2 linked regions of the Coturnix japonica genome follow. The protein of the gene in region 2 binds, or shares a complex with, the protein of the main gene of each other region. Links are inferred from orthologs where the notes say so. Each region holds a gene or a part of one and is shown on either strand. Other genes may lie near its edges.

What was found. Proteins that work in one complex are often made in the same cells at the same time.
Region 1: the proteins of PRELID1 (region 2) and TRIAP1 are in contact, whole or in part, in a crystal structure (PDB 6I3V), measured with the Homo sapiens proteins. The link is inferred for Coturnix japonica from reciprocal best matches to the Homo sapiens genes PRELID1 and TRIAP1. Residues at the interface, in NP_037369.1 of Homo sapiens: Trp15, Asp16, Phe19, Ala20, Trp23, Gln24, Tyr26, Pro27, Val34, Leu35, Thr36, Glu37, Asp38, Ile39, Val40, His41, Arg42, Val44, Gln48, Lys49, Leu50, Leu51, Ser52, Arg53, Leu55, Thr57, Tyr79, Leu81, Asp83, Ser84; in NP_057483.1 of Homo sapiens: Met1, Asn2, Ser3, Val4, Lys12, Tyr15, Asp16, Phe19, Asn20, Trp22, Phe23, Phe27, Leu28, Gly30, Asp31, Ser32, Phe41, Tyr44, Gln45, Val48, Gln49, Ile52, Ile57, Pro58, Ile59, Leu62, Glu63, Phe64, Met65, Gly66.

Annotation. Positions count from the first base shown.
Region 1 is NC_029530.1:8,239,623-8,243,651, reverse strand, and holds TRIAP1 (TP53-regulated inhibitor of apoptosis 1), read right to left. Parts: upstream 2,773-4,029; coding exon 2,626-2,772; intron 2,453-2,625; coding exon 2,369-2,452; 3' UTR 501-2,368; downstream 1-500. Other genes in the region: GATC (glutamyl-tRNA(Gln) amidotransferase subunit C, mitochondrial), read left to right, coding at 2,771-2,950, 3,424-3,590, 3,666-3,769. UniProt on the Homo sapiens protein: Involved in the modulation of the mitochondrial apoptotic pathway by ensuring the accumulation of cardiolipin (CL) in mitochondrial membranes.
Region 2 is NC_029528.1:12,011,882-12,015,281, reverse strand, and holds PRELID1 (PRELI domain-containing protein 1, mitochondrial), read left to right. Parts: upstream 1-1,214; 5' UTR 1,215-1,324; coding exon 1,325-1,416; intron 1,417-1,494; coding exon 1,495-1,720; intron 1,721-1,874; coding exon 1,875-1,988; intron 1,989-2,133; coding exon 2,134-2,212; intron 2,213-2,616; coding exon 2,617-2,753; 3' UTR 2,754-2,900; downstream 2,901-3,400. Other genes in the region: RAB24 (ras-related protein Rab-24), read right to left, coding at 60-138, 658-726, 1,019-1,135; MXD3 (max dimerization protein 3), read right to left, coding at 3,350-3,400. UniProt on the Homo sapiens protein: Involved in the modulation of the mitochondrial apoptotic pathway by ensuring the accumulation of cardiolipin (CL) in mitochondrial membranes.

The sequences.
Region 1 (4,029 bases), on a different chromosome or scaffold from region 2:
AATACCTGCTCCCATATCCAGTCATGCTAACAAGTCCATCATGAAGGATACGAAATGAAATAACATGTTATGTGTGATTTCACTGACTGTTGTTATCCTGCGTGCAGGTGAGCTGCCATCAGTCTAATATTATAAATTAAAATTCAGTATACAGGGAAACACATCCTGCATAATCCACTATTGCAATGTTTAGGAGTCACGAAGGCAATTCTGTCTTACCCAGCCCTTTCTGGGAGAGGGAATTCCAGCAAAGACATTGAACTTAAGCACTTTCAGCCTTCCCAGCGTTAATCCTCAGCTCTCACATTTCTGGTATATCAGCACACGTACGACACTGCTGGGAAAGCTGCAGTCCAATTGGACAAAATCTCAGGGCACACATTGCAAACAAAAGCAGTTTTTGCTCTGCTGCGTGTCTGCGCAATACACACGGTGTCACTCAGCAGATCCTAGAAGGCTGTACTGATTTTGCATAGTTAACCAATTGTAAACCTCTGGAGTCTGCAGAAACACAATTTTATTTCAGAAGCACTACGGGACAATCTTCTTTAGCCTTCAGTGCTATTTATGTCTTCCTCGTAGCTCAGAAGAGCGCTATAATAAAATAACTTAAGCTTATGATAATGCATAGAACAAGGCACTAAGAGGCACAGTTACTTTAACTGTCAAAATACACTAGTTCTTATATGAAGATCATAGAAAAGCAAAGCAGTTTTATGTGCTAGTCGAAAATAAAGCTGCATACTCGACAGACCACAAAGTGTTCTTCCTGGTGCTGAGAAAGAAGTGTCCCAACTTAGCAGCTGAAAGTTAGTTCCATTTATACCGAGTGACCCAGCAGTAAGCATTAACAGCTCACTTTGGAAGTGCTACACTTAATCTCTGCACAGACTATTTTGCCAGCTGCCTTGTGCACACAGGAGCGTGGTTAATGCAGGCTGTGTGACCGTGTTTGAGCTACTGTCATTGCTGAGGACAACTGAGCTCACGCTTCTCCAAGCACCTTTTCTCTCTATCTGTTGCAAGATCTGCAGGAGCGAAGGAAGCCTTACTGCTGAAATATCAGGGTGGACCAGGTAGAAAACATTTGGAGAGGAGAAGGGTAATTCCTAACAACTCCTTCATAACTAGATGGGAAAATACACACCAGCCTATTCTTTTTGCTGAGCAGCCTCCTTTACTTTTCTACATTCAAAGGAAGAGAATTTCAGATACTCGTTTAAGGAAAAAACAAAGTGCTGTTCAGTCATGCTGCACAGAAGTGTAACACAAACACTCTCAGATGGGGCACCTGGCAAGTTAGACAACCATCTCACTCGTTCAAAACCACTACTAAATAACTTACTTAATAACTTACTTGGAGTTTGTGCAGTTTACAAGCCAACTCACTAAGACCAACAAATAACTTCAGTTTGCTTTACTAGGTGTAAAGCTCACACATAGTCCATGAGCAGTTTCATAAGCAGGTGAGGTCCCCCAAGAGGCGGGACAAGCTGCCGGGGCGTTGAACTTCTCAGCTGTGAAGCTTCAGTTCAGCATCACTGTCACTCAACACTTTGATTATCTCAATCAAAGATGTAACAGGAGTTGTGGCCAACCTGGTGCTGTGTGGTCGTGTGTGCAAAGACAGCCAGGCCTGCGCAGTTCTACTGCAGTGACACATTACATTACAGGAGCAAGAACTCAGATTCAGGATCACTTCAGTACCTCGGAAAAGGCCAAAGAAAGTGGCCTCTGCTTTCACTGTTTCTTCAGTTCTGTTGCAGGCTGCCTCTGTCCCTCCTGGAGGTCATAATCAGACGTTACCAAACAGTCATCCACCTGAACAAAATATAACTTCTTACATTTATTTCATTTAAGCTATTGCAAATCCAGCAAAAGTGCTTTTACACCATCTCTGTTACTGGCAAAACCTGTGCTTTAGGCCCTTGGTGTTTGGGATCATATAAACCAGCCTCCTTCCACCCAAATTCAGCACCACAGAGATAAGACAGAGTAAACCAACCTTCTTGTTAGACGCTTCCTAACATCATAAATAAGCAAGATAAACGGGTCAGAGATTAACTACAGGTTCAACATCTCCCATTATAAAGTACATTCGACAGAAGTTAAATCATCTTTTTGCACTGTTATAAGCCGAACCACCACCACGATTCATTGGGAAGGAGGCAGCAGGCAGCACACCGTGAAGTCTTTTGGCTCGCGGCAGTTTGTTTCTACAGGCACAGAGGAAACCCCACTTCCTACAGTGCTACATGGAGGAAGCAGCTCAGCAAAGCGCTGTCCCGGTGCATCCATCCTGGCTGCTGGGTGGCCGCCGTTCCCAGCCCGTGGGCTCGTATCACTGACTCCCCGCATTCAGCTGAAGTCAGGAGGAGTTTTCAGCTTTCCCTTTGCTCGGGCCCATGAACTCCAGCCCTTCGATGGGGATGTCCTTCTCCTTGATGGCTTTCTGGGAAGAACAACAACAAAACGGTTACGTTGGAAGCACGTTTCAAACGGCACCGAGAAACAAAAGCTTCTGTTCACAACGTCATCTACAAACAGCAGCGTCAGCACCGCCCCGCACGGGCTGCAACGGCACGATGCTGGGCTGTGAAGGCGGCGGCTCGGCAGGGCCCGCACCTGCACGCACAGCTGGTAGCGCTTGAAGAGCTGCCCGCACGGGTCCCCGTCGTTCTCGCCCTTGAGGAACTTCTCTGCGAACCAGCGGTTGAAGCACTGGTCGTACTCGCGCTTCAGCTCGGTACACGCCTCCCCCACGCTATTCATGGCGGCACGGCCCCTCCGACACCGCTACGACGCGATTCCGGCGCGTAGCGATGACGCCACAAACCGCTTCCGGCGGCGCGAGATGTGGGTGCCGGGGTTATGGCGGGGACTGCGGGGCGGGACGGTGAGAGCACTCAGGATCAGCGTGTGCACAGCCAGCGCCGCGCCGACACCGCAGGTCAGACAGAGCACGGGGCCGGGCCGTAACGTACCATGCCATGCCATACCCATACCTATAACCATCACCATACCATGCCATACCATACCATACCATACCCATACCTATACCCATACCCATACCTATACCCATACCCATGCCATACCATACCATACCATACCATACCATACCATACCATACCATACCATACCATACCATACCATACCATACCATACCATAACCATATCATAACCATACCATACCATAACCATACCATAGCATAACCATACCATAGCATAACCATACCATAGCATAACCTAACCATACCCTACCCTAACCATACCATACCATACCATACCATACCATACCATACCATACCATACCATAACCATACCATTACCATACCATACCATACCATACCATACCATACCATACCATACCATACCATTAGTGGAGGTAACGGTTTGAGGAGCCCCATCTGTGCTCTCTTGCAGGACGGCGTCACGATGGAGGTTCTCGACCACCTGGAGCGCCTGGCCCTGGTGGATTTCCGCGATGCCGACGGCGTGGAGCGGCTGCGGGACGCGGTGCGATTCGCGGAGCGGCTGCGGGAGGTGGATACGGAGGGTGTCCAGCCCATGGACTCGGTGCTGGAGGACAGGTAAGGGCCGTGTTGGTGCCCCGTGCACATCCAGCCCCAATGTGCTCCATGCAGACCTCCGGCCGCTGTCCTCAGGTGTCTTTATCTGCGGGAAGATGACGTTACCGAGGGGAACTGCACGGCACAGCTGCTGAAAAACGCCACGGAGAAAGTCGAGGAATACTTCGTAGCCCCACCAGGTACCATAGCTTCTATAGAACTTTTGCATCGTGCTCGAGTTAACCCAACACCTTCCAAAGTAAGGGATGACTCTAATCATCTGTACTAACAAACCAAACCTGGAGCAGGCTGCAAGCTATTGAGCCTAAAGCAGTAGAGGGGTTAATGTTACCTTACAGCTCCTGCCCAGCACTGCTTACAGGAAGGCAAACAGAACTTCCTGACTTCCCTTACATGCTCACAAATCAGACTGCAGTAGCACTGTACGTTAAGCTGCACT
Region 2 (3,400 bases):
CCTGCCCCAGCTCCACCGTGTCCCCCCCAGCCCCACCATCACCAGCCCCGAGCTCTCACCGTAGCAGACAACAGCAGCTCGTGCCCCGCGGTAATAGATGCGGCTCATGGCCTCGTAGCGCTCAGAGCCCGCTGTGTCCTGTGGGAACAAAGGGAAAAGTCAGCGAGGGGGTCAGGGGCTGAGCAGGGCCGGTGTGAGCAGGGACAGTGTCAGCAGGGACAGTGTCAGCAGTGATGGTGTGAGCAGTGATGGTGAGCAGTGATGGTGTGAGCAGTGATGATGGTGTGAGCAGTGATGGTGGTGTGAGCAGTGATGGTGTGAGCAGTGATGGTGTGAGCAGTGATGTGTGCCAAGCAGTGATGGATGCTTGCTGAGCAGTATGGTGCAGTGAGCAGTGATGATGGTGGAGCAAGTGATGTGTGTGAGCAGTTGATGCGTCTGCCGTGTGAGCAGTGATGCGGGGGAGGGGAGCGGAGGGGAGTGAGGCGGGGACGGGGCGAAGGGGGGGTGGTGAGCACGCTGTATTGGGTCACGGCATGTCGTCAGCAGTGATGGTGTCAGCAGTGATGGTGTGAGCAGTGATGATGGTGTGAGCAGTGATGGTGTGAGCAGTGATGGTGGTGTCAGCAGGGCCGGGGCTCAGTGCTCGGTGCTCACCCAGATTCCCAGCGTCACCGTCTGCTCCCCCACTGTCAGCACCTTAGCCACGAACGCAGCCCCGATCGTCTGCAAAAGAAGCGTTGGAGGCACGGCGGGGTCAGGGGGGGGATCCGAGATGGGACACGGGGAAACACACGGGCTGGGGATGCGGTGGGACACGGCACCGGGGGGAACACGAGGAGTCGGCGGGGGGGGGGGACATTGGGCCAACGGAGACGAGCGGGCTGACACGGGGATACGGGCACATAGAGAAGAACGAGGGAACAACGCGGGGACCCGACCCAGGGGAAGCGGCCCGGGGACACGGAGGGGACGGGAACCCCGGGACAACCGGGCCGGGACAGCGGGGGATCCTCACGTTCTGGTAGGGCCCGGCGCGGAAGCGGCGATGCACGCAGCGCTCCACCAGGCTGCTCTTGCCCACGCCCTCCTGGCCCAGCAGAACCACTTTGGCGTCCACCCGCCGCCCGCTCATCCTCGCGCCGGGCCGGGGCGGGGCCGGGGCGGCGGAAGCGGGCGGGGCTCACGGCGGAAGTGCCCGCGGGGCGGAAGTACGTGCGAGCGAGGCGGAAGTGCGCGGCGAGGGACGGGGCCGCATGGCGGCCGCCCAGCAGGCCAGGGCCGGAACCGGGGCGGCGGCGGCGCGGCCCTGAGCCCTGAGCACATGGGGAAATACTGCGCCAGCCTGGGCGTCCTCAAGGGGCCCTGGGACCAGGTGTTCGCCGCCTTCTGGCAGCGCTACCCCAACCCCTACAGGTGCGTACGGCCGATGGAGGCCCCGCTCCGAGCTGCCGGTACCGGGCGCTGAGCGGCGCTTCCCTGTGTCCGTTGCAGCAAACATGTGCTGACCGAGGACATCGTGCACCGGGAGGTGACGGCGGACCACAAGCTGCTCTCACGGCGCCTCCTGACCAAGACCAACCGCATGCCGCGATGGGCCGAACGATTCTTCCCGGCCAACGTCGCACACAACGTTTACATCGTGGAGGATTCAATCGTGGACCCCAAGAACCGAACCATGACCACGTTCACCTGGAACATCAACCACGCGCGTCTCATGGTGGGTGCGGGGGGGTTTGGGAGCACCCAGAGCTGGGCTGTGCTCAGAGCTGTGCTCAGAGCTGTGCTGTGCCCTGAGCTGTGCTGTGCTCTGTGCTGTGCTCAGTGCTGTGCTGTGCTCAGTGCTGTGCCCTGAGCTGTGCTGTTCCCTGCAGGCAGTGGAGGAGCGCTGTGTCTACAGAGTGAACCCTGAGAACAGCAGCTGGACCGAAGTGAAGCGCGAGGCCTGGGTCTCCTCCAGCCTCTTTGGCGTCTCGCGGGCAGTCCAGGTGAGAGCTGGACCTGGACACTGTACTGCTTTTCCTCCTTTCCCTGTCACTTTCCGACCTTTGTGATCTCTTGGTGGGTCCAGAGCCACGAAATATTTGGGGTTGATCAGCCTGGGATAGAGGCTGAGGAGTTTTTCTGTTGCAGGAGTTTGGTCTGGCCAGGTTCAAAAGCAACGTGACCAAGAGCACTAAAGGATTTGAATACGTGCTAGCAAGGATGCAAGGTAAACAGCCGAGGGCAGGGTAGGGCTGGACAGGACAAGGCTCTGGGAGATGCAGGTCGTGCTGGCATCACTCTGTGTGCAGGGCCCGGCTTGAGCTAAATTGACTGTGACATCTTTGCTCTTTGCCTTTTGCCTTTGCCCTCACCAAGTGCTCTTCCGCTTAGAGCTGCCAGGCCCAGGCTGTGCTGGTCAGGGCTGAGCGGGGGTGGAGCACGGGCAGGAGCAGAGCAGCAGTTGTCACGTGCCTGGAGCTCACTGGGACGTGCTGTGATGCATGTGGGCTGGGAACACAGGGCTGGGCTTTCCCTGTATGGAGGAGGAGGCAGAACGTGGCTCACCCAGCTTGTTTTAGCTGGGGCGGGGCGGGGGGAACAGGCATCGGGTCAACAACTCGTGTGTTTCAGGAGAAGCTCCATCTAAAACTCTGGTGGAAACAGCAAAGGAAGCAACTGAGAAAGCAAAGGAGACAGCTCTGGCTGCTACAGAAAAAGCCAAGGACCTGGCGAGCAAAGCAGCCACCAAGAAGAAGCAGTTCGTGTGAAGAGCTGGACGCAGGCAAGAGCTGGGCTACGCCAGAACAGATAGGAGCCTCCTTAGATTTTATATTTTTAACTGTAAAAGTCTGACAATCAGCTGCTGTTAGATCCTAAGGTGTAATTATCATTAAAGAGTCAACTTCCACCTCTGACTTGGCTGAGGGCTGGGCTGTCAGAGCAGAGCTCTGGGGATGGATGTGGGCGGTGAGTCCTGCTGGCCGCAGGCAGGAAGCAGACGTAGTTTAACCAAGTGCCTTTACTGCAATAATAGTGTCGATATGTACAAGAAAAGGAGTCAAGGTGGTGGTGGGAGCGCGAAGCGTTGCTCAATGTGCTCACTTCCCCTTGCTGGCTTCACCAGGGTTAGCCTGGAGCTGCATCTGGGGGGCGGGCACTACCCTGTGTCTACTGTACACACATCCCCACTGGGCCGGGCTGTCCACCAGTGCTGCTTGTACTCCTGCAGCGCTTTGCTGTGCAGTGGAGCCCGGAGCCGTGCGCCCAGCGCTGTGCCCAGCTCCATCCAGCCGCCTGGGCTGGGGATGTAGGGATGCACCAGGCACCCGATGCCCCCACAGCCGCGTCCCGAGGGACAGCGCCGTCAGGACCAGGGGCTGCGGGGGCTGGAGTAGCTGTGGTCTCTGCCGGTGCT